4 linked regions of the Drosophila melanogaster genome follow. The protein of the gene in region 1 interacts with the protein of each later gene in a pairwise test. Each region holds a gene or a part of one and is shown in the gene's direction. Other genes may lie near its edges.

Evidence for each region.
Region 2: the proteins of CG42495 (region 1) and CG4313 interact in a two-hybrid assay, tested with the Drosophila melanogaster proteins (one large-scale study listed by BioGRID).
Region 3: the proteins of CG42495 (region 1) and Vti1a interact in a two-hybrid assay, tested with the Drosophila melanogaster proteins (one large-scale study listed by BioGRID).
Region 4: the proteins of CG42495 (region 1) and Ugalt interact in a two-hybrid assay, tested with the Drosophila melanogaster proteins (one large-scale study listed by BioGRID).

Annotation. Positions count from the first base shown.
Region 1 is NT_037436.4:18,663,694-18,670,146, forward strand, and holds CG42495 (uncharacterized protein), read left to right. Parts: upstream 1-3,667; 5' UTR 3,668-3,741; coding exon 3,742-3,886; intron 3,887-3,954; coding exon 3,955-4,100; intron 4,101-4,153; coding exon 4,154-4,291; 3' UTR 4,292-4,442; downstream 4,443-6,453. Other genes in the region: MYPT-75D (myosin phosphatase targeting subunit 75D), read left to right, coding at 1-61, 447-567, 631-1,127, 2,005-2,561; Capr (caprin), read right to left, coding at 5,341-6,453.
Region 2 is NC_004354.4:2,048,930-2,057,340, forward strand, and holds CG4313 (uncharacterized protein), read left to right. Parts: upstream 1-3,754; 5' UTR 3,755-3,816; coding exon 3,817-4,376; intron 4,377-4,887; coding exon 4,888-5,511; intron 5,512-5,574; coding exon 5,575-6,016; 3' UTR 6,017-6,485; downstream 6,486-8,411. Other genes in the region: Sik2 (Salt-inducible kinase 2), read right to left, coding at 6,989-7,096, 7,191-8,411.
Region 3 is NT_037436.4:689,310-696,739, reverse strand, and holds Vti1a (vesicle transport through interaction with t-SNAREs 1a), read left to right. Parts: upstream 1-3,820; 5' UTR 3,821-3,961; coding exon 3,962-4,055; intron 4,056-4,119; coding exon 4,120-4,718; 3' UTR 4,719-5,254; downstream 5,255-7,430. Other genes in the region: CG13894 (uncharacterized protein), read left to right, coding at 1,871-3,457; RabX6, read right to left, coding at 5,330-5,791, 5,941-6,120; CG32483 (uncharacterized protein), read left to right, coding at 6,659-6,710, 6,781-7,430.
Region 4 is NC_004354.4:2,700,624-2,709,081, reverse strand, and holds Ugalt (UDP-galactose transporter), read left to right. Parts: upstream 1-5,336; 5' UTR 5,337-5,561; coding exon of another isoform or gene 5,562-5,577; 5' UTR 5,578-5,625; coding exon 5,626-5,794; intron 5,795-6,306; coding exon 6,307-7,244; 3' UTR 7,245-7,958; downstream 7,959-8,458. Other genes in the region: CG2681 (uncharacterized protein), read right to left, coding at 1-118; CG2680 (uncharacterized protein), read left to right, coding at 1,740-2,129, 2,226-2,753; eIF2Bbeta (eukaryotic translation initiation factor 2B subunit beta), read right to left, coding at 3,016-3,088, 3,157-3,542, 3,633-4,089, 4,159-4,245, 4,309-4,364; Lint-O (L(3)mbt interactor in ovarian somatic cells), read right to left, coding at 8,387-8,458.

The DNA of each region.
Region 1 (6,453 bases):
ATGCTGGCCCAGTGTGGTGCTGATCTGAATGTTCGCAACAAGGACGACGAGACTCCTTCAGGTGAGAATATGCGAAAAGGTTGCGGCACTGAATCAACGGTTATCCGGCTAGAGCAAAATAACCATGAATATGAAATTGAGCTATAAATTGTTGTTAATGCGACACGGAAAATGTGTAAATCTAGACTATTTGTAGTAGGAGTAGGAGGAAAGCGCTCTCAGGTGTGAAGAAAGATTGCATTAATTTTTTAGCTTGGCAGGATCAACGATTTATAATGGCTAACTCGAAAAAGTGTTACCCATTTCCGTAAAGTTCCTCCTAGCTCAGTATTTCAAATAAACACATATAGTACATACGTTCATTTAGATGTTAGTTGCCATAAACATAAGAATACACTTAAACGTTTTAACTGGATATTAACAAATCAATCCATCCGCCTTTGTAGACATCTGTGAAGATCCCGAAATCAGGGAGCGAATCGAACAGCTGAAGACGGAGCAGGAGAGCAAACGACTGGCCGAGGCGCAGCGACGACGCGTTCGACGCTCACAGAGCAACAACACAAGGCATTTACATAACATTTATGAGCCATTAAACATAACCATTAAAACTAACTATGCTTTCCACAGAGCCCAATCAGTGCGACGCACTAGTTTGCGAGACAAAACGCTGACAACCAAAAAGGATGCCGTCGAGGAGACCCGGCTGCGTCTGCAGGCGCAGGAGGCGACGGACTCGGAGGCTCCCTCATCGGCAGGGGATCCGCTGACCAATGGCTATGGTTACGGAAACAACAACGGAGAGAAGCGACCCTCGACGGGCAGTTCGAATGGCCAACCACTGCCGCACTCCAAGTCCGCCGATGCGCTGGATAATGCCACCGCCGCTTTGTCGGCCAACGCCACACATTCCTATCCGTCGCGCCGTCCACCGGATGGCCGGGAAAACGATGAACTGCTACGCCTGAAAGCTGCAGGTGCTGCGGGAGAGATGCAGCGAGCCACCTCGGCGGCGGCCGTCATTCTCACCGAGAAGGGTACGGCGGCCAGTGCCGAGGCCGTTCAAATCCAGTCGTCGAAGGAGGCTGCCAACGGCAAGATCAATGTCCAGGTCACCGTCCTCGTGGGTGAGTCAAGCGCCCTTGGCCACGTGTCAGGCTTGCTTCCGCTTTCTCCTTTCAACCAAAGCCAACCATTTACTCAAGCACCCCATCCAGACGCCACCTCCAACCATCCTGTTTGGCTCCCAAGGAGCGTCAACGTATCACAAGAGTTCTGCTTAAGCGCCATTCTGTCCCCGTGTCAATGTCAATGTTTAATGTTTATTTAACGACTCTACTAAAATGGAAATGAAAATACTTCCAACAAGCAAGCAGAGCTAACAGCATGAGTAGACTATAGAATGACGAATGCCCTGTAGGAAATGATAATCGATATCTTGGTTTGAGATTTTTAATAGGATAGCTTCGTGAGATGCATAGCTTAGTTGAGATATATTTTATGGAAATGACAGTCATTGTTGTAGTAAGATACTTTTTATTTCATTATGTTGTAAATATGCTTTGTAAATGACTTCTTTATTTAAATGCCTAAAGTGGAATAGCGTAAGCATATATTACTATTTATGTAAATTATTGCCATTTTAATAGCTTACTACACTAAATGGGTTTTCTGATACTAGAAATCGTACTTAGAAAACAGGGGAGCATGGCTGCAATAAGCATTAGCATTTGACTCGCATGTAACCTCCATCCCATCTACCCGATCACTCCCAATTGGTCAATGGGTATCTGCTAACTTAGTTCTCGGGAAAAGAAGAGAAGAAAAGTAAAATAACATTTGCTTGTTTCCGTTTCATTCTTTTTTGTTGTCGTTGTTGTGCCTCGTTTCGCCCGTTCTGTGTCGTCTGCCTGCCCGCATCATCATCAACAATAAAAACAACAACCACCGCACCACTAAACACCAAACACACCCAACGCCTTGCCAAAAACTTCCAACATCCAGACACCAATAGCACGCACCACCATCAGCAACATCAACAGCAGCAGCAGCAGCAGCAGCAACACCACCACCAGCAACACGTACTGCTGTTGCAGCAACACCAGCAGCTTCAGCAACATCAGCAGCAACAGCAACAGCAGCAGCAGCAGCAGCATGTTGCCTTGGATGGCTACAGCGCCACATTGGCCAATTTGAAGAAGCAACGCTCGCTTTCACGCACCGCCAATGTCCTCAATACTTTCGAATTGTCATCCCAAACAGCTAGCAATGCCCATCCAATTGCAGCAGCTAATGCCACAACAACTAATGGTTCTGTTTTAGGAGCCGGCGGCAGCAGCAGCAACAACAACAACAACCTGAGCACCAGCAACAACAACAACAACGGATCCGCACCGATCTCGACGCAGCCAACATTGGGTCACATGGGCGCGGGAAGCGTGCTATCCGACTTCGAGGGCTCCTCGCCGGCGGGCAGTTCGCTGAACAAGTTCAGCGGCATCACTGGCGACGTGGTCACCGATAGCACCAGTTCCAGTCGCAGGTGTTGCGTCCTGATGTAGAAACTTAGCGAACTACTAGAGTCACAGGGTATTAGAGCAGCCAGAATTGTCAGAGGGATAGGCCATTTGTTAAATGGCAAGAAAAAAGTGTCTTTTTATTAGATTAGCCGTATTCAGTGAGTGAATTGTTGAATGTTGATTACACAAATGCATGTTGGTTTTGAGAACGGGGTTCGATTCTGTGAGCTCCTAGATAACGGCTGAAAGTCGTTGCATTTTCCTAGCAGACACAACAACACACTAAAGACACACACAACCAATTATACGAAACAAATTTATACAAATATACAACCATATGTATACATTTTAAAGAATATTAAAAGAATTACGTATAAAATAATTGTGAGCAGTTTACCTTAGGCGATATATAACAACTAACTAAATCAAAATGAAAAAACATCAAAAAATATTTATATAGCAATGCTAAGTAAGAACCTAACTTAATAGATTTGCTTGGAGTGCATTAGGAATATCTGTGTTTCCGTGTGTGAGTGTTACAACCGAAACAGGCGAAGTATTATGCAACAAGTAAATATTTAACTAAATATATAGTACGATAGCAAAATTGTAGTTAAACCGTGACAGCAAAGTAAAGCAAAGCAATGAGACGAAATGCATAGCACTCAAGCAATTTCCACATATAAGTGTCTAAATGTTTGAATTGAAGGAATGTTAATAATGCCAGGCGGCATAGAGATTTATTTTTTAATGCAACTACTTTGCTCTGCGTTATGTAAGTTGAGTTTTGTTGAGAGGTACAAGAATATATGTATTATTTATGTAGCAGCGGTCTTTGTATATAAACCTACACAATTCCAAAAGATGCAAAAACAACGCGCAATTAGCAAATGAGACTTTTTCGATGAATGTCAAGGCATTAGCTGAACGTTTTGTAAAATAAACAAATGAAATACGAAAAAATTACACACAAATTTGATTTGATTTTGCGCCAGTTAGTTTTTTATATTCCTGTGCTTATATTTCTTATGAAGAATGAAGTTGAAGTAAATATCTACTCTTTTAAATCTCGCGCCAAGGTGCTCCACCTGGCGGGATTTTAATGAACCGCAAGCTTGTCATATGGAAGTAAGTTGGCAGCTTTGCGCATCAGCTGTTGCCTCGTTCGACTTTTGTTTACATTTTTATTGGTTTAAACTTATAAGTTTAAAGATCTAACCTAATGGAATCACTCGCAAAATATCGATACAGTTTGGTGGCTGGCTCCTTCGCAGCTGCAGGAAGCTTTTTCGGAAAACTTCCCAGCCACCTGAGCGCCCAAAAACTACTGAATACTTCGCAAATAAATGAAGACTTTTCTTATTTAGGCAAGATTGTGATTTCTTCAAACAAGCAAAATGTTTATAAATTTATAAAATTTTATTTTATTTATTAGAAATAGCATTACTTCAGCTGCTGCCACTAGTGTTAATGGTAACATGCAACGTTTGCAACTTGCGTTTCTTTTTGAAGGCCCTGCAAATGACTGAACAAACTTTAACGTGCGTCGTTTTAACTGCCGCTTCGAATTATGTCTTATCGGTAGGTGATCCACCGATCTATTTGTTCAATTATGATTACTGTTCGTTATATAGTTTGTCCTAGGTGCGCTTGTTTATCGGGAGCCACTGACAGTACTATCTGGCATCGGAATAACTCTCATTCTGGCTGGTCTTTGGTTTCTTTGCGACGGAGGAACAGTCGAGTCCGAAAAGCAGGACAAAATGGAATAGTAGGAATGGGATTTGCTTAAGATTAGCTTCTTTTATACACATTTTTCATTTGCCATATAACTTTCTGAAGCAGGGATAAAAATAGTTAAAGAAACTTAATTTTCCATTTGTAACTTTAAAATATAAAAATGTTGGGAACCCCAATTAGTCCAAAAAAACGAATGGTTTATATACTTTTGTTTAATGTATGTACTGTTTTGCAAATACATAGTTTTCATTTCATTTATAATGCACTGTTAGTGTGCACGCTTCTTCATTCACGCGGCAATAATTACAACTATTATGTTTTACGTGGTTTTGTATTTTTGTTTTCATCGTTTGTGTGTAAAAGTTTGGCAGAACAAAAAAAGGTGTTGAAATGGGATAGAGCATGACAGTAAGAGCACAAACTATAAATATATTTATCCCTTCGTTTATATATATAGGTAATAGTAATTAATTTTTATAATTCAGAATCGTTATTTAATTGCTAAGACGTATAAATACTTTTTATATTCTTTCTCTCGACATCTGTAATCATCAATCAGCTTCAACGCAGCCAAACAGACAAAAAGTAAAATCAAGCAAGAAATGGCAGATCCAAGTTACATACAAGTTTTGCCCATCTGTCGTTTGTTTTCCTTGGACGAAGTAGTGTTGTGTCCTGTCCTATCCTGTCTGGGAGTTTTAGAAACCCTTGGAGCGCTTACTTTCCTGTATTTAGTTGTAATTCTTTCGTGTTTCTAACAACTATTTTGTTTTATTATTAATACATTATCGAATAAACCAAAATCAAGGGAAATAGGTATAAATCGTATTGAAAAATGCGCACGAATTGATTTGTGTGTCGGCTTCATTTTCGATTCCCTAGTTGCGTTATAAAGGATTCTTTTTGATAGATTTCCATTTCTTATGGTTGAGAGTGGTTTGCGTAACAATAATTGTACGTCTACGTGGCCATTACTTGCATGTTGATGATTGGTTTCCTTGTTTTCTGTATGGAGGTTGTGTTTATGGTTTGCATGAATTGTATGTGTGTTTTGTTTGCGGGGTTAATACGTATTGTATGCTCAGTTTTTGTTCTCCAGCCCGAGTGGCATGCGTTGCGACTGGTTCTGACGGTTTATGTAGCCACCACCACCACCTCCCTGGTTGCCCGCTCCGCCACGACCACGATCGCCCATGGGCCTGCCGCCGCCATACGAGCCATTTACATTACGCTGCTGGTTGCCACCGCGCTGGCCTCGATAGCTTCCACCGCCGCCGCCGGAGGATTCGTAGCGCGACTCCTTGTTGTAGGTGCCACCGCCACCTCCTCCGTTCTGGTAGTAGTTGTTGCCTCCACCATTGCCCGACTCATTGTTGCGGAAGTACACACCGCTCGAATTGCCCGAATTGCGTCCGTTCGTGTTAGATGAGTTGCCGTATTGACGCGACCGGTAGTTGCCCCTGTCGCCGCCGTTGCGCCGCTCGTCACCTCGCCCTCCCTGATCGCGATCCCGGTTATCCCTGTCTCCGCCACGACGCTGATAATTGCCAGAGTTGCGGCGTCCGTCTCCTTGCGAGTTGTTCCAATGGTTGTTACTCTCGTTGTTATCGGCATAACCGCTATTGCCTCCGCCAGTGCTGTGGTCCCTGGGCGTGGCCCACTCCTGCTTGTGGCTGGTGTTGCTGCTGCCATTGGAGGCGGCGCTACTCATGGCATTCATCTCCGAGCTCCACTTGGTTGGCGGTGCCGGTGGCGTGGCCTGGGTGGTCTCGCCTTTGAGCACATTCGTCAGTGCTGCTGTGGCGGCAGCATTTGTATCATTATTACGGGCATGCCATTCATTGTTCTCGACATCTCCACCAGCACCGACACTCGAGGAGCTGTTCACAGATGACGGCTCATCCAGCTGCTGTAGATTTTGCTGCTGCTGCTGCTGTTGTTGTTGCTGCTGTTTCAGCTGCTGCTGGATCTGCTGTTCATAGGAAACAACAGCATTTTCGTATGAGAACCCTGAGGTCACATCGCCCGCCTGCATGCCAATGCCCTGAGGAGCAGGCTGCTGCGGTTGTTGGGTTGGCAGACGCGGCATAATCAGCATTGGTTGCGGCTGCTGCTGTGGTGGCTGTTGACGTTGCTCGTGGATCAGCACCGGCGAGAAAAGCTGCTGCTGCTGCTGCGGACCCTGTTGCTGGGG
Region 2 (8,411 bases), on another chromosome or scaffold:
ATCTTTAACGCAATCGTTAGCCTATGCCTGAAACGTTTTCGAATTCGTTGTGCAACGCATTTGTTTTCTGTGTACATGCATTGATATGCCTCTGCTCTGCCCTCTGTGGCCCTCAGCTGCCCTCGTTCCCCTTAACCCCGACCAGGTCACGGCCGCCACTTAGCACGGTCCGACGGGGCGTATACGCAATGTGTCTGGCTCGCTTACACATACACATACACATACGAATTTAGAATATTTCCTTATCTTATCAAAAAAGCACTTACCTAGCTGAATTTGGTTTCGCTATTTGGTAATCCTCTGCGATTCTAGTAATTCTAACGATCGCTGGGCTCGCTCTCGCTCTCTCCTTCCTCTTGGCCTGATTGCTTTCTCCGTGTCTAGGTCTCCTCTACTCTCCTCAACCTCTCCTCTTCCCTCTAAGTCGTGTGCCGCACCACACTGACGGACGCGTTATCAGTGGTCAGGAGGAGAGGATGGACAGTGGCGGGACTTGGGAACTGGGTATGGGGAAATCGAAATCGCTTGTTTATTTGCTTTCTGCTCACGTAATGGAAACTAGTGCGGTTGCGATCTTCTCTTCTTTGCTCCCCTGTCGTGCTCCTCTCTCCACTCTCTCCAACTCCGATCTCCACTCCACTCCTCTCCAACTCTTACTCCACCACTTCCTCTTTTTCGCTCAGGTTGAGCGAGGTGAAAGAGTGAGTGAGTAATGCTGTTAGCAATGTAAACAGTTTACGGCATTCGGCATTTGCTGGGGTTATTCATGAATCGCTGTGTTTTTTATTGTTGCTCTGGGGACGCCACTGGAGCATTGCTTTTTGTTTTTGTTATTGCTTGCTGCTGTCGGTGATTCAAAAGTCGCACCAGCTTTCATGACTAATGCTTTTGAATCGCGAGATCAGGTAGAGAATAAAAGGGTTACAGGTTGCCCTAACTCAGCACTTGACATAATCACAAAAACAAAAAGGAACAGTCGAATTAAATATCTAACAAATAGGCACACGCTCGCGACTGCTTCAACGGTATCGTATCGAATGTCACTCAAGTCGAACTGAAATCGTAGTTACTTTTCGTTGTTTATTATCCGTACTGGTTGAATGTAACGGACAAATTGCGTAGCGCCTGCGTTCTCGTGCCGGATCGTATTGGATCGTCTATAACTGCCGGATCGAGTGCAGTTCGTCGAGTGCGGGCAGCGTAGAGCGAGTCGCGATATTGCCAGTTGACAATCGGCAGCCCCCTCTCACTCTTTACTCTCACTCTCAACTAGTGTCTAAATGACTCTCCGCCGCCGGCCAGTGGCGTAGGGAACTGATTGAGGGAGGGTATACTCCGTTCGTTAGATATTCCGTCTGAACGCACGTCAGTTGCGCTCCATGTTAGTCAGGTTTCCCCTCATTTGGCGCGCCCCTGTTACTGCCCCCACGACTTGGCGCTCTCTTCTGCTCTCTTGCTCGCTCGCACTCCCGCACTCTCGCCCGCCGGCCGGAGACAGCGCAGAAGACAGACAGGGACAGACAGAGAGGCGGAGATCGGCGATCAGCCATCGGCCATCTGGTGACCGACCGAGGGGCGGGTGTGGGTGGAGGCCGCTCAATGGTTGCCGATCGATCAGATGCATATCGCAGATACGCCGCTTCTGCTTCCTCTCTCCACTGAAGCAAATGTGCAATGATAAGGCTTCATGTGTCTGCATTCTAATGTTTACACAATTGGACATTCGACATCGATCGAGGCGATCCAACATGGCTGCACTGGGAAAAACGGTCTGTCGCATGGTAAGGAACTGATGGTTGGAGCTACCGCACATATCGCATTAGGAACTGTGACCTGGTAATAAATGTTTTCGGTGCAGATATCGAACTGAAGACGTAGGGATTTGTGCGCACTCTCATTGTTTGTTGTTTGCTGCGGATTGTGTGAAGAACACGATAGTTTATGGCTATCTAAACATGGGCCCGTGCGTGTGCGTATGCGTATAGGCGTATATGTAAGTACGCCGGAGAAGTTTACATTAGTCTGGATCTCTGGATCCGAATTCGAATCCGAAGCGGGCGTCGATTGGCGTTCGAATCGTATTCACAATCATATCAAGAATGGTTGATGAGTGGGGGGGGGGGGGAGGTCTTAGTTTCCACTTTTATGCCCATCCCGCAGGCATTTCCAAGTACAGTGGTGGGCGCAAGGATAGTGCACTTTTAATTTCTTAAAAAATGATGGGATTATACGTTTAGATTAAGCTCGATAAAGCCTTGTATTGTTTTATGAAAACGCATGTTTTCGCAAGTACGAGGATGAGCCATATGTTTCGTTATCACGTATTGTATTCCATCCAGTTCCTAGGATCTTAAACTTAAAAATTTCTCGTCATTTAAGTGAATGCGATATGGCGCTATAATTATATTAATTTCCTCAAGAACTGAATGTTATTTTCTTGGGTAGTCGGCTGCAATTCCCGGACTATTGGCCTGCATGAAAACAAACAACGTATTCGTATTCGTGCCGTTGCCAAAGAGTTTTCCCTAGAACCGCCTGTTTTTCTTTTCAAAAGGCAAACAATACTCAATTCGACCCAACAGACGACCCGCACTCTGACCCTCGGAAAAGTAGAGAGGTTTCCCCCGGCATATTGGCTTGATTAATTAAGACTACATATGTACGCTGACGTCGTGTGACACCAGGCTTCCGGGGTTTGACTCATTATTCGAAACGGGTTATGAGAGCGTGAAAAACGCATAGTCTCGAGTTATGATTCAGGATTAATCGCCCATGACTGGAGTATTCATTCTACGCACAAATTCGATCTATAGGCATATTTATTCGAATGAGTCCCTCTCGCAAAAGTTTTGCTTTTTTTTTCAGTTCCTCGCTTCGAATGGATGCCGCCCATTTATTATCCAGAAAATTGCCAGAGGAAACTATGCAACCACACACACAAACACACACACACATGCACACGACCCAGGAACCGAAAAGTTTTTCATTTCAAAAATGCCGGAGAGGTGCGTATGGCCCGAAATCAGGGCTACGAATAGACTCGATTCATCTGTAGGAGCTTATTCATTGTATTCCCAATATATTCATGTAACCTCTGGCACACCGAATTTTTTAAGCATCCAAGACGTATCGGTCAAGGTATCAATTAAGGAGGGGAACTTCTTACTTCATTGCAAGTGATAAGTCTTGAATTGTGTTAGCAATGCAGATAACTTTCCCCATGCTGCTCATGACTTATATTCCACCAGACTGATGCAAAGACTAGTCTAATGCAAGTATGTATGTTCTGGCTGTCGGAATGCTCAAGTATGTAGCTAAAACGTCGAACCATTTTGGGCAATGGTATCCCTGGTCTAGTATCTGAAACTTTGAAAAACGGCAACAACAGCAACATGACCCCGTCAGAATATCGACGAAAGAGCGAAAGAGTCGAGTGGATTGGGGCGGAATGGGGCGGGAAGGGCGGTTAAGAAACAACACCGAATAGGAACAATGTAAACAAAGCGCCCATTCCACACGCAAATTACCAAATTACCCGATGATGAAGTCAATTGTTGTATACAATAAAAATGTGTGTTGTTGCTGCTGTTGCTGCTCTGAGATTCTTTTGTTTTCCTTTTTGAAAGTTTTTCTAGTTCGCCTGCTGTTTTTTTTTTTTTTCTCAATATTTTGTACGCTTGGCTGGCGGCGACTGCCTTCGGGCCCACTTTTTGGGTGGGAACCATGTCGGTGTATGGATGCGGAGAATTCAGTTTTAGTACAAATTCGGCGCAGGAACGAGCAACGCGTCTTTTGCCGAACACAAAGTGCCGCGCGATGTTCCCACCAAAATCCGGACCAACTCCGCATCCGATCTCGATAGCGCTGCCTCTTTCGGATCCCTATGCTACTGATCACATGGCGGATCAGGACGCGGTGTTGCCGGTACCCCTTTCCGACAGCCTGGACCTGGACGTGGACGTGGACCTCAATCTGAATATGAATCTTAATCTCAATGTAGACGACAGGCGCCAGGTGCTCTTCGAGGGCTATTCGGACGAGCTGCTGACCATCGCCTGGGTGGCCTGCATAGTGTTCATCATTGTGGGCGTTCCCGGAAATTTACTGACCATAGTGGCCCTGTCGCGAGGTCGTCAAACCCGCAACTCCACGGCCATATTCATAATCAATTTGTCCTGCTCGGATCTACTCTTTGGCTGCTTTAATCTGCCATTGGCCGCGTCCACTTTCAAGGAGCGGGCGTGGACCCATAGTGATCTGCTGTGCAGGTTGTTTCCGATGCTGCGCTACGGCTTGCTGGCGGTGTCCCTGCTCTCCGTGTCGCTGATCACCATCAACCGGTACATCATTATCGCCCATCCCAGGCAGTATCCAAGGTGAGAATGGGCCTGCCCATATCGGCATGTCCTGCCTAAATCTTGAAGGGTATTCAGAGTGCCCAACTCTTCCTCTTGGTGCTTATCTGTTTATTATGATACGCATGGTAACCTACCACTTAATCTGAGAAAAAAACCCACACATATGTTATTGTGTTTCTGAACTTATAAACTTTTGAACTTGTTTATAAAAAGGAAAATGTATGGCTTCTCGTAGATGTTTTTTAATTAACTAAAAAAGAGAACATTACTTGCTAGAGGCAAATGCTATAGAAAAGGTCGGTTCAGCGATCTCAATATTTTCGTAATAAACAATTAAACTGAACGGAAATTAATATCTTATAAAATATGAACTACAATATTTCTGGAGAAATAAATAACTAGCTAGTTTTTATTTTCGTGAGCTACGGATATCTTAAAATAATATATTTGAATACAATGAGCATATATTATTATCAAATTAGACATGGTACAAAATACAATTCCCACTGGTTCAAATCCGTTCTTCCAGAATTTACCAGCGACGATATTTGGCTTTGATGGTAGCCGGCACATGGATCACCACGTTTTCCATAATGATACCCACCTGGCGGGGCGTATGGGGTATCTTTGGCTTGGACGTCAGCATCGGCTCGTGTTCCATCATGCATGATCGGTATGGTAGATCCCCCAAGGAGTTCCTCTTCATCGCCGCCTTCATGGTGCCGTGCATCTGCATCGTGATCTGTTATGCCCGAATCTTCCTGCTGGTGCGAAAGGCGGCCATTCGCGCGGGAACCGCTGGCAAGACCAATGTCAGCGATGTGACTCCCAGCTCCGCGCCGCAGCATCAGATTCAAGCCATGGCCACACCAAAGAAGCCGGAGAAGGTGACCACGTCCAGCGGCGAGGCGAACGAACCGATCGCAGGACGACCCTTTGTGGTGGAGGAAAACTTAGCGTATATCGATGACAATGCTTCGACGGACAGTCTGCCGATCTCGTACAGCATACGGAGGAGGGATCAGGACCAGCAGCCACCGCCTGTTGATGCCAATGTGGTGCTCAAGGAGCGGGAGAAGGAAAGGGATCGGGATCAGGAAAAGGTCAGCCTGGGACGCAGTCAAACGCAACTAGAGATGGGCAAAACCCATGGGTGAGTAGCTGTTGAAGGCTTCTTTGCCATTTCACTCAACCTTAATGCGTAAATCCATTCCAGAAAGAACCCTATCACTACATCCCTGCGCACCACCTCCTTCACACGGTTTAGCCCGCGGAAATCCCACTACGCCTCCATGGGCAATACCTCAAATGCATCCTCTATTTACCCGGGAAGGATGAGTGCCAAGGACCGGAGATTGCTTAAGATGATACTGGTAATCTTCGTGTGGTTTGTAATTTGTTATTTGCCCATCACGGTGGCCAAAATATGGAAAAGCGCCACCGAGGTGCACTGGTTCAACATTGCTGGCTATCTACTTATCTACTTGACCACCTGCATCAACCCGCTGATCTACGTGTTGATGAGCTCCGAATACCGAAGAGCTTACTGGAACTTGCTGCGCTGCCATGGCTCTCCAGATACCCAGAAGCAGCGGAATCAGGCCAATGCAAAGCGAAAGCACCTGGAGTCCAATCGGCAGGTGAAGGCCACGACGTGACTCCGACAGATGCCTTAACACCTTCATCGTCCTCCGTCCTAGCGGGATATGATATATGTGTGCCATATGGTAGTAATACGATGGGAGAAGTACCCAAATGTCATGTTGAATGATCTGCGGTAAGAAAAAATTCCTTGATCCCCTGGTGATTATAGTGCCTCCAAAAAAGATTTCTAGTCACATGATCCGGCCGGTCGTCCCTTCCACGCACACACGAAAACACAGATCACCCATATATATCTATATCTATATCTATATAATGTAGGAACTCCAGAAGTATATTGCATTTTATACCAAATGACTTTAATATCTGGTTTACATTTGAATTCCATGTTTAAGAACAATCGATGTTTGTTTAAATTTTGTTTTTTTTTTCTTTGCTTGTCGCTAATTATTGTACCAATACATAATAGATATATCCTTATATGGATACGCCCTTTCTATGCCCCCAATAAATGCTTCGAATAATTGATATATGTAGTTACGTTGTTCTCGTCCACTGTCGTGGGGGCAATACAATAGTGTATAGTGTAATCATAAGTAGAGCTATAGCTTAACGCTATTATTATCAATATACATATTGTATATGTCTGCGTATATGCGTACGAAACTTGGACTACTTAAGACTAGTAACACAACTAAATCATTCAATATTACTGCTTCGCCCGGTTCGGTAATGATTCTATCGGTTCCAATAAACGTGAATCGATGTAACTCCGATTCCGATTCCGACCCGCATTCATATCTATATAGGCTATTTATATGTATGTATGGGTGTATATCGTATATGGATCAAATAATTCATAATTGCGATTGCGAGCTTAATAAAAAGGTGGCCCCGGTCCCGGTCCAGCCCCCATTATAGTTCGATGTCCAGTCCTACCCCTTTTCCTTTCCCACCGACTTCCACTTACAAATCTACTCCCATTCGAATTGCCCCAACCCCTCCACCGAATAACATCACACACGGCCTCAGACTGACTCAAGGTGCTCCGATATCTCCAGGATGGGGCTCTCGCTGAGCGGCTTTACCAGCGACTGCCAATTGGGCGTGAAAAGGCTGAGCACCGGCGTCGATGTCTGCGGAGGACACAAGGAGAAAACGGATAAGGTTTATATACGAACTTGGGATGCCTGAGAAATCATCTTAATATGCGTTATCTAGCTTACTTACATGATAGTCGGAGTCCAGGCTGTGACCGTGGGGCGTGGTAGGCTTGCACTTGACCGTGGGCGTACCCGGCGCCGTGGACGGTGGAGCTGAGCATGATACCCCAGCAGCTGATCCTCCGGAACCAGCTCCATTAGGCGCCGCACCAGGCACCTGGTCCGATTGGCTGATGTAGGAAGTCTTGAGGTTCATCTGACTGAAGGCATGAGCTCCGGGCATGGTCATGGAGTGCTGAAGCCTAGGAGTTCCGCTCCTGGGCCGATCAAGCAAGGCCAACTCGTACAACTCGTCGGCCAGGTGATGTTCCGGAGCCGGAGCCGGCGGCGGTGGCGGACCCAGGCTGTGGCCAAAGTGGTGATGGTGGTGATGGCTGTGCTGCTGATGGTGGTGATGTCGACCGGCTAGCTGCGCCTCCAGTGCGTACTGCTTCTGGAACAACTGACGCTTCTGCTGAAGCAGGCGGTGCTGCAGTAGCTGCTGCTGCAGCGGTGGCTTTTGCATCGGGGACATGGGCACGGCCATACCCACGCCCAACTGATGGTGCGTGTATAGCCCTGGTGGCGGCGGTGGCGGAGCATAGCATCCATGACCATACATATCCCCACCAGCAGCGGCTTCCAGGAGCAGAGGTGTGGCTTGGTGGCCTGAATGGAACAGCGAATGATGGCCATGGTGATGCTGCGCAGGATGCGCATGATGATGGGGCAAAGTCAGCAGCGGATGATGCTTGCCCGGCAGAGCATAGAATTGACCATTTGGAAATTGACAGAGTTCTTCCAAGCCGTACGCTTGGGGATGAGGATGCGGATGCTGATGCGGATGTTGATGGGCATGTGGGTGTGAATGCCCCACAGCCGCCTCCTGCTGCAGCTGCTGCAGCTGCTGGATCTCCAGCCAACCGTGACGCTTGGCCTGCTCGTAGCGATAACTTCCGTACACACGACTGGTGCCCAGCAAGGAACCAGAGCTAAGCAGGCCCTGGGCCACCAGGCCATCACTCGCCCGTCTTCCTTCGCGAAAGTGTATGGGTGAACGCTTGTCCAGGAACGTGACACCACCGCCATTTGGCGGAGGCGTAGGATTCGGCGTGGGCGTGGAGGCTGAACTCTGAGGAAGGCCCAAGCCCAACGGCAGAGCTCCTGGCATATGGATGCAGGAGTTGTGGCTCCCGTACAGCGATCTTTCCGATGAATGCTCCGATGAGATTCCCGCTGGCGATGCCGA
Region 3 (7,430 bases), about 18 Mb from region 1:
AACCATTTATAAAGCGAGTCAGTCAGGGGAGATTTGAATTGGAATTGATGGTGTAGTGCACTCGACTGCGCCGTGGTGTGCGTGCGGATATACACACAGATACGCACATACACAGGGCCAAGACATAGACGAAGCGCAGTCGCGTTGTGTGTGTGTCAAGGTGCGAGCATAAGATATATCTTCAAGATGGAGAAGTGGAAGGGTTCTTGGGTTTGGGCTTGGGTTTGGGTTCCTTCGGTTCGACTGAGTTTGGGTTTCTCGGGCAGCGAAACTTTGACGCTGGCAGCGCTGCTGCCAAGAAGTTTCCGGCACAAAAACTTTGCTCGAGCAGAGCGAACAGCTGCCCGAGGCACGGCAAAGGGACGGGAATCGAGTTCGGAATCTGCTTGATAGAGCTATGGAACAGTGAGCAACCCCTAAGCTGGCCGAGAGATAAGGCTCGATTCCGTAAATCCATGTCAACAACTTGGGCAGCGCTTGGATGCGTGGTAACCACCAGAGTCCACCCCTTGGGACTGAGCCATCCGTATCTGTAAGAGTCGCATGAAATCTCTCGCACTCACTTCTCTAATGGGCGCAACAATTGAATGTTTTTTATTATTAGCAAATCTATGTTGATCCTGAGATTAACCAGCCCAAGTTCTTAGATATCAAATTATATTTTGGAGGTTAAATCATCAGTGCCATCCTTACCTTCTTTAGCATTACATTTAAGTTACCTGGAAGTTTGTCTAAGGAAACCAAGATACGGCCTTAAATCTAAGAAATGAATCGGACATGCTTGTGAGATTTAGTCATCTCGATCTCCCGGGTTCTGTGTTAATCCAAAGACCGGCTCTGAGTCAGGCAGGTGGATTCCGTTTTGTGACTCAGCACCAGTCTATATCTACCTCGCAACTCTTTGGGCGTACGAAAAGGGGCGCGACCAAAGTCGTTCGAATTAGGCAGGCATCTCTGTGAATCTCCAGCGGTGTGTATCTGAGCGATACAAAATACAAGTCATAAGTGGGTGTGTGTTTGCTCCGATATGGTTTTCTGACGGTATGGCTTTGGTTCTGTTTTTTTTTCCGGGGGCTATATTGATTTCCGAAGGCGTACGCATGTATCTTTTGGTTTTGTCTCTGTATCTGTAAAATGGCTAGAGTGGTCGTGCTATTGGCATATGCTCTTTAGAGGTTTCGAGGTTGTTCCTATATACTGTGATATACTTTTATAAAAATATGTATTGGCTTGCCATTATTTCGATGACTCATGTCATCTGCTGTAAGTCCCAAGAGATAGACACTAGCTTGTTCGTCGAATTCATTTTTCATTTGTAAAGTTGTCCTTCTAGAGTTGCTAACTCATTGGTTTGTTGTAAATATCTGTGTTCTGGGAAAACACGATCTCAATCGGGTAATTTACTCGTTTTAATCATGGAGATCAGCACATTAATTTATTGTTATTTGCCAAACTCGTATACGTTTGAAACTGAAATATGTAAATATAAAACTCCGATTGCATTGCAATATGGAAATCGTGGGCTCAATTGCACTAAGATAGTTCAAATGCAGACACTTGTTGCAAAGTGCGCCAAGGAAAAGGGTTAAAGGATGCCAGACTCCATGTCCTAGCCCAGAACTTGCCAGACCTCCTGAACTTTGGCGGTAAATTGAGAACGCGACCATGAAGGAACACAGAACATCGCAGATACTTAAATTGAAGTTAAATAGCCAGCTTAATAATGTGTGCAAACACTCTCTTGCAGATTCCAGTGGATTTGTTTTAATTTCATTTACATTTCGTGACCTGGCGAAGCGTGAGCAACGCCAGCACTCCAGCATTTAAGATTCGGGGCCAACAGCAATTTCATCCTCATCCGCAGGTCGAGATGCCGACCATCCGGCGGTGCTGCATCATCGGATGCTTGTCCAATTCGCGTCAGCACCCGAGTATGCAGTTCTTTGCGTTTCCCCGGCCGGAGAACCCCTTCCACAAGCTGTGGAAGGAGGCGTGCCACGCCTCCCTAAGACGAATTGTGCCCTTCAAAAAGCCAGTGGTATGTGCCCTGCACTTTGACCCCAGTGTCTTGGGTGGCAGGCGACTGCAGTCGAATGCGCTGCCCACCCTGCGTCTGGAAGTTCCCTCCAACCTGGAGGCCGTTGAGCAGCAGGCCATGGTGGAGGAGATCGAGAGGAGCCGAAAGTGCGCCTACATCAATGCAGTGGTATACGAATGGCTAGTAAGGGCCAATATCAATCCCCAGCTGCGAGGTAGCATTACCCACGGAATGATCAAGGACAAGGCGGAGAATGCCAGACAAGTCATAGGGAGCACATCCTTTATAGCAGACAATCGCTGGTTAAACCGTTTCCGAGAGACTCATCTTCAAGGCTTTGCCCAAAAACTAGCCAGCAACCAGTTGAAGCCACTAGGATCCTCCCTGTGGATCCCGGACATCGTACAGGACCTAGCCCATCTCTTTCCGCCCGCGAGCGCTGAAAGAGTGGCCAAACTGGAGGAGATGCCCGAGCAGTACATGACCTACATGCAACAGTACGGAGAATACGAAGAAGATGATGACAGTATGGATGTAAAGGAGCAGAGCTATCAAGAGCAACAGCAGCAGCAACAGCAGCACTTTGCCCTCCAGCAGCAACATATGCAACAGCAGCAGCATCAAATGGGCCACCCATGGCCACCGTTTCCAGGACATCCCGGACATCCTACTCCACACCCCGGGTTCGCCAGCTTCAACGACTTTTATTTCGAGCGGCATCAACAGCAAATGCAACAGCAACTCCAGCAGCAGCAGCAGATGCAACAGTTTCCACCCACTATGCCACCTCAAAGGGAACCCTTTCAGCCCCAATTGCCGCCAAATGTTCCACCGCAGCGGGCCAGTCCCTTCCAGCCCGTTCAGTTGGCCAAGAGACCCAAAATGGAGTCACCCGATGATGACGAAGTGCAAGAGATTAACTCAGCGGTGAACTCACCACCATATCCGCTAGCAGAATCAACCTTAACCAGCAAGCACAGTCGAAGTTCCAGTCCCAACGAGCAGAACAACAATAATAGCGGGGGAAGAGACAGTGCCAGCAGCAAGGAGAACGCCCCCAAGGGAGGCGGAACAAGTGGCAAATCCACGCCTGCCCTTTCTTCCAAGGGAAAGGACTCACCTGCACCAGCTCGAGCTGCGTCCACCAAACCCGCCTCTGCTCCCGCCTCGCCAAAAAAGATCCCCAATGGATCCAGCTCCTCCGGCAGCCAAACCAATGGACACACATCCCCAGACCCCGAGGATAAGAAGGCTTTATGCATGCTGAAGGAGTTGGAAAGCTACCACCAGGCCTTGGAGTACCTAAAACCGCTGGAGGACTTCGTGCTCTTCAAGGAGAACTTTCGGGCTATTGGCTTGCTGTCCCAATTGGAACTGGTGCTCCGAAAAGGGGACAAGGCCACACTGGTCGAGGGTTAAGAGTTTTCTAATCGCGGACCAGGACAGCACAAAACATAAATGTGATGAACAGTGTACATATGTATCATGTAGTATTATTAAATCGTACTACCGCCAAAACAGTTGCTTAGGTTAACAAAGAATCTCCACTCGCATAAAGCTGAACCTAATTAATTAATTTATTAATTACTCTAAGTACAATAAAATGGAATTTATAAAATAATAGATATGTTTGTGTTTTATTTACGTATTTAAAACGGAAGTTGGTTTTATCTGAGTTCTTACGAGAATATTGTAGTCCTTGAAGTTGGCAGTGTTTTTTACATGAGTATGGCAACGCTGACTCGAAATCAGAGTGACCACGACTTAAAAGTATTTATAGATTGCTGTATTACTGTTCACCTCATGACTCGGCCACACTTGGACAATGTTTACTTCTTTTCTTCGATAAATCTGTAATTTTCGCGAACTAAAACAGAACAAATACCATAAACAACTGAATAAGGTAGAATAAAAACCGCACAAATGTCGCTTCTGGAGCAATACGAACAGCAATACGCCACGTTAATAGCAGAAATAACGGCCCATATTGGACGGCTGCAGCAGCAAAACAACAACAGTGAGTGGGATGATTGTCCATGGATTGTACATTATGGTGATTACCATTTGTCCATTTACTCCAGGCGAGCGCCATGATTTGTGCAGCAAGATCGACTCCAGTTTGCCCGAGGCTCAGGAATTGCTGGAGCAGATGGGTCTGGAGGTGAGGGAGCTAAATCCTGGACTGCGGAGCAGCTTCAACGGAAAGCTGCAGGTGGCCCAGGCAGAACTGAAACGGCTGCAGGCGGAGTACAGGTTGACCAAGGACAAACAGCGCTCCCAAGCCAACACATTCACCACTCTGGACTTGGGTGACAGCTATGAGGATGTGTCCATAAGTACAGATCAACGCCAACGCCTCTTGGACAACTCGGAAAGGATTGAACGGACGGGCAACAGGTTAACCGAAGGGTACAGAGTGGCCTTGGAGACGGAGCAACTGGGCGCCCAGGTCCTAAATGATCTGCACCACCAAAGGGAAACTCTACAGGGAGCCAGGGCTCGACTTCGAGAAACCAATGCCGAGCTGGGAAGAGCTTCTCGCACTCTGAATACCATGATGTTAAGAGCCCTGCGGGAGAAGGTGGTCTTGTATGGAGTGGGTGTCTGCTTTGTGGTGGCCGTGGGCGTCAGTCTCTATCTGACCTTCGCACCCAGTTCAAGCAGCACCGCCTCGTCGTAGTAATTTTAGCTAGCAAACCAATAGCCAATGATCTTAGCCCAAATTCAAATGTTATAGAAGCCTGTCCATTCCAATTTCGTGAGTTGATTATTTATTGTTTAGTATATTTTATTTTTACGAGATATTCTGTGGAAGAAAGCTGCAGATTACGCACTAATCTATATAAGATAGGATGGAGTATTACGTGCAATAAGAGTCGAAGCTTAGAGTAGTTATCTGCGGTCAATCGATGTCTATATATTTTGTTGTCCTTTTACCTTTAAGATTAAATTGACCTTCTTGTTAATCGATGGAATTCCTATTACTTTTTAATTCTTACCGCAGATTTCTAACCTATCACTCGCGTATCCGCCATCCTAGCTTACGTGTACAAAGTTTAAGTGGTTAATGTTTGGCGCCTGGTTAATAGAAACTAATCCTACTCTATGACTCGTGTTCGCGTTCGGGACGTATTTTTCGTAAAAATTCGAATTGAACATGTACGTATCTAAAAATCATAACATAGCCGAAAGCTATCAATAAATAAAGGAAACAGTAAAAATGCATCTCTGCGTGAGCATTGAGCCTGGCGGGAATAAGGGTTCCTAGCCGAACTCAATGTTCCCCAACTGCTAGCAGCCGCAGGAGGAGGCGTCCTCCTCGTTGGTCGCCGCGCCGCTGCTCGCAGTGTCCACCTGGAAGCTCTTGTGCTCCAGTGCCTGCAGTTCCATTTTGGAGCGATTGGCGTGGACCAGTTGCCTAGAGATGTCACGGAACATCTCCTCCACACCGGCGCCGCTGCGACAGGAGGTCTTGTACGTGGCACTGATCAGTGAGTGGCACTGCTCGCAGAAGGCCTCCACTTCCTCATCGCTGACCTCCGGCTCCCTGCCATCCAGATCGCTCTTATTGCCACAGATGAAGATCTTGGCATTCTCTGCATAGGTCACAATGTCCAGCAAGTGCTGCGACAGCGAGTGGAACGAAGCGGCGTTGTCCAAAGCAAAGACCAGGATGGCTCCCTCGGCGAACTTGTAGTACGAGGATGTGACCGAGGCCACACGCTCCATGCCACCGGTGTCCCAGAGTTGGAGCTGTCAAAGAAGACGGTATATACATAAGTGTCTCACAACGCAATAAGTTGTAAGTCTGAAGAACTGTGGCTTTCGTCTAGAAATCGAACTAAAGAGCTTAAGGATTCATATCTCAGCCATCACGCCCTTTTAGAGGTTCCCGAGCCCACCTTGATCTGCTTTTCATTCACACTGTATTCCCTATCGATGTGGTCCAGTCCCAACGTGGATTTCCTGTCCGTATCCGTGATGAAGGTGTTGGTGGCGAAGCGCCGGAACAGGGAGCTCTTGCCCACTCCGTAGTCGCCGCACAGGATCACCTTTTGTTTGGGTATGCGCATCGTGGCCATGGCTGTGATCGCTCGATTAATCCCAAGTTAATCCAATTAATATATTATTTTGCACCTGCAGACACAAAGGCGACAACAACAGTGCGACAACAGCTGTTTGTGCAAAAACAGCCAACATCGCAGAGTTGCCAGCCATTTGAACGCTATCGATAACCGATAATTCGAGTTATTCGAATTCAAATGGTCTTATCAGTTGAGATCTGCATTTGGTTTTAGTTTAGGCAAAACAATTCCACCCATTATAATAATAATATACAATATTGTAAAATTGTTTATGAAAAAGGGATTATTTATGGAGGAAGTTATCGTTTCAACATTAGTTGTACCTAAATATACGTACATAAACAGATATTCAACTTCTTTTTAAAAGGGAATATACAAATTCAAAAATGATTATCATCCCTCTTCTGAATGATTGAAAGAACCAGATCGATAGAAGTTATCATTTTTGAAAAACTATTATCTGATGTCAAGTTCTGCTGATAGTGCTGTACCCGTTAAATAAGCCCGTGCGCTTGAGTATCACTTTCAGTTGAAAATGTCGATTCGGTTGGTAGCACTCCTGGCATTGTTCGCCGCCTTGGCGCATGGTAAGAATCGTAAATCGAGCGCTATCTCTGAAATGTGGTAATCTTTAAATGAACTAATGGCGCATCCTAGGCAAACCCGGATACGGTCCCGGAGAGCAGGACTGGGGCTACGTAGATGTGCGTCCCGGTGCCCACATGTTCTACTGGCTGTACTACACCACCGCCAATGTTTCGAGCTATACCGAAAGACCATTAGCCATTTGGCTCCAAGGAGGTCCCGGTGCCTCTTCGACGGGGTATGGAAACTTTGAAGAACTTGGGCCCGTCGATTTGTACGGAGATTGGCGCAGCTGGACCTGGGTGAAGGACATGAATGTCCTCTTTATTGACAACCCCGTAGGCAGTGGTTTTAGCTACGTGGACAACACGGCCTTTTACACGGCCACCAATAAGGAGATCGCTCTAGATTTGGTTGAGCTGATGAAGGGATTCTATACCCTGCATCCAGAGTTCGAGGAGGTGCCGCTGCATATATTCTGCGAGAGTTACGGTGGAAAGATGGCGCCGGAGTTTGCACTCGAACTGTACTACGCCAAGAAGCGTGGTGAGGTCAAGAGCAACCTTACCTCGGTGGCTTTGGGGGATCCATGGACCTCGCCCATCGACTCCGTGCTCGCATGGGGACCTTTTCTCAGAGAAATGGGAATCGTGGACCACGCGGGATACAATGCCATTCAAGAGGCAGCGAACTTCACGGCTCAGTTGGTGGAGGAGGAGCGA
Region 4 (8,458 bases), on another chromosome or scaffold:
CCTCATTGATCGTGCTGTTGAGAAATATGCGGCGCTGCTCGTTGATCTGTTCGATGCTCTTCAGCTGAGCCAGAATTTTTAGATCCTCCTCCTTTCCACCATTGGCCAGGGTAGACATTTTCGGCAATTTTCCTTAGTTTTTGACTAGTTGTCGTCTGGTTGTATAACCGCCGGGAACAGTTGCTCCAAGCTCAGGTGGCCGAATGTGCTTTTCTTCTGGCGGAATTCTTCGCAAGCGTTCGCAACTCGTACTTTCGTATCTTATCAGGGAGACGCCTAACTAAACTAGCTGGCCCGGCAATCGATTTGGACTTGTGATGCGATATACCAAAAAGCCGCAGCCAAAACCAACCAAACCAAACCAAACCAAACCAAAAACGCAGCCGAACCCCAAGCGACGCGACTCACACGCGCTCGCACATCAAGTACCCGCCCCGTTGGCCAGTTCTTTTGCCTTCACCGCCGCGGACGCGGACATGGACACGAGCGTCTTCCGGACCCCGCCAATTGAAATGTTGCATTTGAATTTGAATTATTGGCCATTTGTGGTTTCCTCCGTTCCGGCGGCTTTTCCATTTCCCCCTCTCCGCTTCCGTTGGCCAAATGCCGCAGCCATCAATGTCAAGGTGTTGACATGTGTGGCCAGGGTCTACGGCCCAGCACAGTGGGACCTCCGTAGGGCGACAGGCATTCTGTTGTCTACGCTGCTGAACTTTCGCAATTGTCATCATACTTATTAGTTTCTCCATGCGTCAACTGTACCTTTGCTTTTCGAACTGAGGAAAGCGTGCTCATACATGTTTCCTCGAGTGTTCACTGTACACGTTTGTGCCTGCCTGTTATAAGCTTGAGCGAACAACAGCAGCAACAAAAGGCCGATGCACCACCGATCAATACTTACATACATACATATGTATGTATGTCAATCGCCTTCAATCACGTGTATCGCAGAGGATTTGTAAGAAATGCAATTGAAAGGAAGAAAAGGAAGCATGTGAATCGCAAAATACATATAATATTTATAGCATGCCAAAAGCCTTTGAAATTTAATTAAATTTTTCTTTACAGCCATTTTGGGTTTGTGGTTTCGCTTTGATTGCATAGAATTGAATTCAATAATAAGGCTGTCAATTATTTCGAGACCAATATATTTCAGTCACATTTGGCAGTGGAACTAGTTCGATAATCTATATGGTTCTAAATTATATCCGGTAAATTCAAATGACAGTCAAAAGCATGAATAACCAAAATTTGACGAATGCAGCAGACTCATTTTATAAGTTGTTCCTTAAGATAAACTTGGTATAATCACGCGTACGCTTGATTGTAAATCCGAACTAGGAAGCAAATGAGATACATATGTATGTATGTATTTTCCGGACTGCTATCCGCTCTGTCCGGCAGATGGGAATGTGAAATAGACAACAAATCGCACGAGTCTTTCATGCCGCGTTCCACACAGAAGATCTTATATTTACATACGGAATCTTATCGGACGAGCCACTCCGCTCGGGTTCGCTAAATCGTGTAATAAAAGATACTTAGCACATATGTACGTAGGCATAGGGTTGTATGGGCGAGGGGTGGTTGGGTTCGGGTTCGAGGAACCGGGGGAACAATGTCAATGCGTTGACATTGAAGGTTAAATGCCGGCAAAGGCGGTTAGTCGGCTGTGGAATTTCCGTGCGCGCGCAACCAGCATCCAATTCGTTCCTGTAAGCCAAAAAACCAACATTACCATGTCGCCACCACGACACATTTTGAAGCTCAGCCTCGAGGAGCAGCGGCAGTTCATCGATTCCTTCGATTTGGTGATCAGCGACTGCGATGGCGTCGTCTGGCTCCTGGTGGGCTGGATTCCCAACACGGGAGCCGCCGTCAATGCCTTGAAAGCGGCCGGCAAGCAGATCAAGTTCGTGTCGAACAACAGCTTCCGGTCCGAGGAGGATTACATGGAGAAGTTTCGCCACATCGGCGCCAAGAACGTCCAGGAGGACGACATCGTTCATCCGGTGAAGACCATTGTCCGGTACCTGAAGAAGCACAAGCCGGGGGAGCGGGTATACTCCCTCATGTCCCTCGAAGCGAACGAAACGTTACGTAAGCACAACATCGAGTTTGAATCGCTGGTAAGGGGAAGGTTATTACTTATAAATATATATATACAATATATTTAGTTCAAGAGCTTCCGTGTGACTATTAAATTTCATATCATTCTCCTTCAGCAAGTCAAGGAGCACCTGACGGCCGCGTCGCTGGTGGATCACCTGGCCATTGAAAAGCCCGTGGGCGCTGTGCTATTCGACATCCACTTGGACCTCTCGTACGTGGAGCTGGCGAAGGCCATTAGGCACCTTCAGGAGAATGACGACTGCCAGTTGATAGCCGGCGGCAGCGATGTCATCATGCCACTGGCGGAGAATCTCAATGTGGCCGGGTTCTTTGACTTCCTGGAGCACGTTAAACGCTACACGCAACGCGAGGCCACGTTTCTGGGCAAGCCGTCTCCCATTTTGGGCGAAATGTTTGGCGAAATGTTCGAGATTCGTGATTGCAAGCGCTGCATCTTCATCGGGGACACACTGGTGCAGGATGTGCAGTTCGGCAAGGCCTGCGGCTTCCAGTCCCTGCTGGTACTTAGCGGCTGCCTAACAAAGGAGGACATGCTGAACGCCCCGGTGGAAGCGCAGCCGGATTACTATGCCGATAGCCTGGCCGACTTCACGCAGCTGCTTGAAAATATTCAAAAATAGGTTGAGGATCGTGTGCCGCAGGGAAATTACGAGAAACGTGCTACCTGAAATTAACTATATCAACCCAAGATAAAGTAGTAATGTTCTTAAATCGAAAACCGATCCACCGTTATTGCTTATTCGATATAATTATTGTTGAATTTTAAAGTTTATAAATGTCTACGAAATTGATGCATTTAAATCAATCCAAATCGAAATGGGCTTGCTACTTTACTGTAGACTTTATTGGTAGAATTGCTAAAACAACGAGACAAACACGATTTCAAATCTCCAAATCTTCGGGATGATACAGTTCCGTAAGGAGGCGGTACACATACGAGGGGGCATGGCCACCGCTAAGTAAAAAAAGAATCCAATAAATGCAATAAAAAAGAGTCGAAAGGCCGATAAGCGCACTACTTACGTGTTGGATATGAAAAGGGTGACCAGTTCCGGAGGCACGTAGTCGAACATGGGACTGTATACCTTGGCTTCGCGCGCTGGAATCGAATCGTAGGGTATCACATCCTCCGCACAGCCGACCATATTGAAGGCGTCCTGCTCGCACAGATGCAATGGTGAGAGTTTGTACATGGGCGCCAGTACAATGACCGGCACGGAGTAATGCTTGGCGGCCAGGGCCACTGTATACGCTCCACACGCCGCTCTGAGTCCTCCATTAGCCAGCACGCTGTGCGTACCGATTATTACCTTGTTGACGCGCGACATCATAGCGAAGATGGCCGCATCTGGGATCACAACAATCTCCACATTCTTCTCGTTGGCCAAGCTGGCGGCCAAATTGTGACCCTGTAAAAGACATAGGCAGTTGTTAAGCAACATAAGAGCATTTTCTTACACCCCACAAATACTGTCGTCCCATAAAGAGACCCAACTAACCCGGCAGGCTGGCGCACATTCGGCTACGATGATGGTGAGAAACTGACGCTTTTTGATCGCCCTTTTGAGGAAATTCTCGACGCTGCGCGAGTGTCCCAGTGTCAAGATGATCTCCGACGAATGGATGTGCTCCTCGGCCTGGACGCAGATGTTCTCCGAACTGGTCTCCAGCTCCGTTTCCACCTCCTGCAGGTGGTCGAGCAGCGCTTCCCGCAATCCATGCTGGGGCACCGAGTAATCTACGCTGACGTTGCTCTCGCTGGTCTGCGTGACTAGCTTGTGAAGCGACAGCGAGGCCTGTGAGTCGTCCGCGAAGTGTTGCACCTTGGCGTGCAACAGATCGAACTCCTCGCGAGTCAGCTTGAGGATCCGCCTGGCAATGTTCGAGGTAACCGTCTCCTGGGGCAGAGCTGCCTGCAGGATCTTACACTGGTCGCGCACAATCTGCATGAGAGCACTGTCAAATGAGGGGGAGTTGTTTATCAGTTAATGTGTTATCCTTGGTGTGCCATCCCTTGCAACTCACTCGGCGTTCTGCCAGCTCTTGCTCATGATGATGTACTTGAAGATGTCCAGCGTCTTGTTGGTTATGTTGTAGGATCCCTCCACCAGCCTGCAAAACATATGCCACTTTAACAACCAAATGAATCGCAGTGCCTGCCAACCGACGACTTACCCCACTTTGATGGCGTGGATGAGCTGTGTGATCTCCTTTAGCGGCTGTTCCTTCATCGTGTCCTGGCGTCTCTGGTCTTTGCAATTATGAATTATCAACTAAAGTGGCCAACTGTTACCATTATTCAGTTAGAAAACTATTTACGAAATCGCCACACCGAGCAATGTTATCGATAGGCGGCAGGCGAAAGCGAATTCTAGTGATGAACTCAAAAAAGTAAAAGATTTAAAATCAACACGGAAATTATTAATGTTTTCATTTATTGCATTTGATTAAATTAATTTATTTAATCCCCCCAAATGGCAATATATTTGTAATGTTGTATTGTAAATTTGATGCATCGCAATTATCAGGTGCCGCCAACAGGTTGTTCATCATTCACTGGCTTAATTTGATGTTTTATGTTTATTTTAATTGTCTGCATATACTGGCTTTCATGACGTATTTTCAACGGCAGCTGAGTAAATAGCCAACCTAGTGCGGCAAAAATAAATTTCGCTGGGCTTAAAAATTTAACATACATGTGCATGTAGAACAAGCATGCACAATATGTATTTATGTATTTCGTCCATGAGTTTTCTTGTTTTCTACTTTCGATCCCCATGCTCTCTTGTTAAATTTTAATTTTAATTTTAAAGTCATAATATATACATTAATTTAAGCAATCTCAATGCCCGATTATTGTATATCTAGCTTTTTTTGCAAGCAACTTCTTTTTTCGCGAGTTCCGCCACAATGCCAGCACTGTGACTATCGAAAAGTCGGTCTCTGCTGCGAAAATAGCAACAAAAGCTGCACGCCATGGGCGTAGCTTGCTTTAAAATGGGGATCCATCCCCCAGGAGCATATGTAAGGTGTATTTACTTTACTGAAATGCACAATGCACTTTTAAATTTTGTTTGCATTCAATTAAGAAGGTTTCGCATTTATGACCCCCGTTGCAAGCCCAGGACCACGTCCCTGGCGCGCAGCAACAACAACCACATAGGCGGCGATAAAAAGCCGCCGCTGGCAGAAGCTTCGGGCTCTGATTGTTGTTTACGTGTCGCCCGGTCCAGTGGAGTCGTCTTCATTTGCGCTCTTCTGCTTTTCTGGCCAACTTGAAGGGAACGAACTGCCAAACGGAACGGCCCGCCGACAACTGATCTTGGCCAGGAACGGAGTCTTTGTGTACCCCCAACTACGGCGTTTTGTTTGCCTTCGGTTTCTATTTGGTTTTGGAGTTGAGACAATAGAGCTAGAAGCGTAGCACCATGAATAGCATACACAGTGAGTATTTGGCCTTTAGTGCGGTGGCGTTACTCCAGCGGTACTGACATGGCGCTCCTGCCCGCCCCCGTCACGTATTCCTATTCCCATCGCACAGTGAACGCCAATACGCTGAAGTACATCAGCCTGCTGACGCTGACCCTGCAGAATGCCATCCTGGGCCTCAGCATGCGCTACGCCCGCACCCGGCCAGGCGACATCTTCCTCAGCTCCACGGGTGAGTGCTTATCCAAAAGTCCAACAGGTCGTCGGGCTCAGCAGGTCAAGCCGGTTCACCGCTTAGCAGATTCACCTCGTTGCCCAGAGCCACTTCCACGAAACCTCGACGTGGGTCTGTCCACGCAAGCAGCAACATCAGCAGTAAAAGCAAACGAGTCGAAGAGGTGGAGGTGAAGGTGGTGTAGGAGCAGTGGCAGGCGGGGAATGGTCGTTCGGGTAGATGTGAAGCTGCCAAAGAAACTGATAAGCAGCCACTTCCGCATTTAGCTCCTAATAGCTTGATAAAACTGTTGGGGAACTTCTACCGCGATAGCTCAAGGAGGTTTGGTTGGCATTCTTGAATTACATATGGGTTTACATTTTGCCATTAAACTTTGGTTATTGCTTTGGTGACTCTGTGTGTAAGTTAACCGGACTTATTTGAAAACCCGAACAGCGATACTTGGACTTATTAGTATATATGTACATATATTTGATTGATTGATTGCCATTTTGCGCCCTCTTTCGCAGCCGTACTCATGGCAGAGTTCGCCAAACTGATCACGTGCCTGTTCCTGGTCTTCAACGAGGAGGGCAAGGATGCCCAGAAGTTTGTACGCTCGCTGCACAAGACCATCATTGCGAATCCCATGGACACGCTGAAGGTGTGCGTCCCCTCGCTGGTCTATATCGTTCAAAACAATCTGCTGTACGTCTCTGCCTCCCATTTGGATGCGGCCACCTACCAGGTGACGTACCAGCTGAAGATTCTCACCACGGCCATGTTCGCGGTTGTCATTCTGCGCCGCAAGCTGCTGAACACGCAGTGGGGTGCGCTGCTGCTCCTGGTGATGGGCATCGTCCTGGTGCAGTTGGCCCAAACGGAGGGTCCGACGAGTGGCTCAGCCGGTGGTGCCGCAGCTGCAGCCACGGCCGCCTCCTCTGGCGGTGCTCCCGAGCAGAACAGGATGCTCGGACTGTGGGCCGCACTGGGCGCCTGCTTCCTCTCCGGATTCGCGGGCATCTACTTTGAGAAGATCCTCAAGGGTGCCGAGATCTCCGTGTGGATGCGGAATGTGCAGTTGAGTCTGCTCAGCATTCCCTTCGGCCTGCTCACCTGTTTCGTTAACGACGGCAGTAGGATCTTCGACCAGGGATTCTTCAAGGGCTACGATCTGTTTGTCTGGTACCTGGTCCTGCTGCAGGCCGGCGGTGGATTGATCGTTGCCGTGGTGGTCAAGTACGCGGATAACATTCTCAAGGGCTTCGCCACCTCGCTGGCCATCATCATCTCGTGCGTGGCCTCCATATACATCTTCGACTTCAATCTCACGCTGCAGTTCAGCTTCGGAGCTGGCCTGGTCATCGCCTCCATATTTCTCTACGGCTACGATCCGGCCAGGTCGGCGCCGAAGCCAACTATGCATGGTCCTGGCGGCGATGAGGAGAAGCTGCTGCCGCGCGTCTAGCTCTGGAGGAATCCGGATCTGCCAACAGTATTTGTCCGTAACCCGGAGGCCGCCGTTCGGTAATTGCTCTGGTGTATCCGGTGCATCCGGTGTCCTTGATATTCCCCACGTTTTGTGTGTATATATATTAGGATGGATATTAACGTCTGGACAATTCGTAGCACTTTCTGTTGAGACGATAATTGTAATGTAAAGCAGCGATAAGAATACTTAATGATTTATGTAATTTAAATGTATTTAGGGTATTCACTAGCGAAACTAAAGTGTAGTTAATGAAATGATGCAGCTTGAATGCACGTTTTATTGATCATTTTAATTGTTACTTTGCGAATGCTGAGGAATGCCAGCAGTATTTACTGGACAACACCACACATACCGTGCCTATCCTTTTGTAAATATCCACTTGCACTCAAGTTTAGACTAAGATTTGTAACGATTTATAGTTTTCAAGTTACACTTGATGTTCGGCCAATTCACAGCCACAACTACTTTTGTTCGAATTTTTTTTTTAGAAGATCATATATATGTATATATATTTACTTGAATGTGCATTATTTATTCATTGCCAATTACTTTATTTTTGAGAAATCCTAGGTTGAGCCAGCCCAGACTTATATATTTGTATTTGAACTAAAGTCGCATTACTCGCACAGTGTTTTAAGAGTGATTCCATATCGATATGTTTCATTTCCTTTGAATAAATATTAGACGAATAAAAGGCGTATTTTACTCCATCAAAAAGTAATAACAACTTTCAACCCACGATAAGTAAAAGCACAACAAAGGTTTTGGGGTCAGTTTTTTGCTTTATTGGCCAAGGAAGGTTTCCTCTTAACTGAAGAACTTTAGTTCATCTATAAAAGAGTAAACCTTTGCCTCTACCCTTAAAAAAAAAAAACACCTTAATAAAAATCATAACGTGTTGCAAATTCAGCAGATACCATTCAAAAGTATGTGCATTTGCGAGTGTGGGATTACGGAACATTTTTAAAACTAAAGCAAAATCTTAGCCATCCGCCAGAAGACTTAATATAAGCTTTATTGGCTGCGAAGTGATGCGGTTGCGATGGCTACAGAAGAGAGTATTGATTTAAATTAAGTGTGGTACATGACATTAGGTGCTAAGGAGGTGGGTGGGGACGCTAATCTAGCCAGGCGAGGCCAACGTCATTGGATTGAGTCTGCAGGGACATCACGAGTTCGAAGACGCGCAG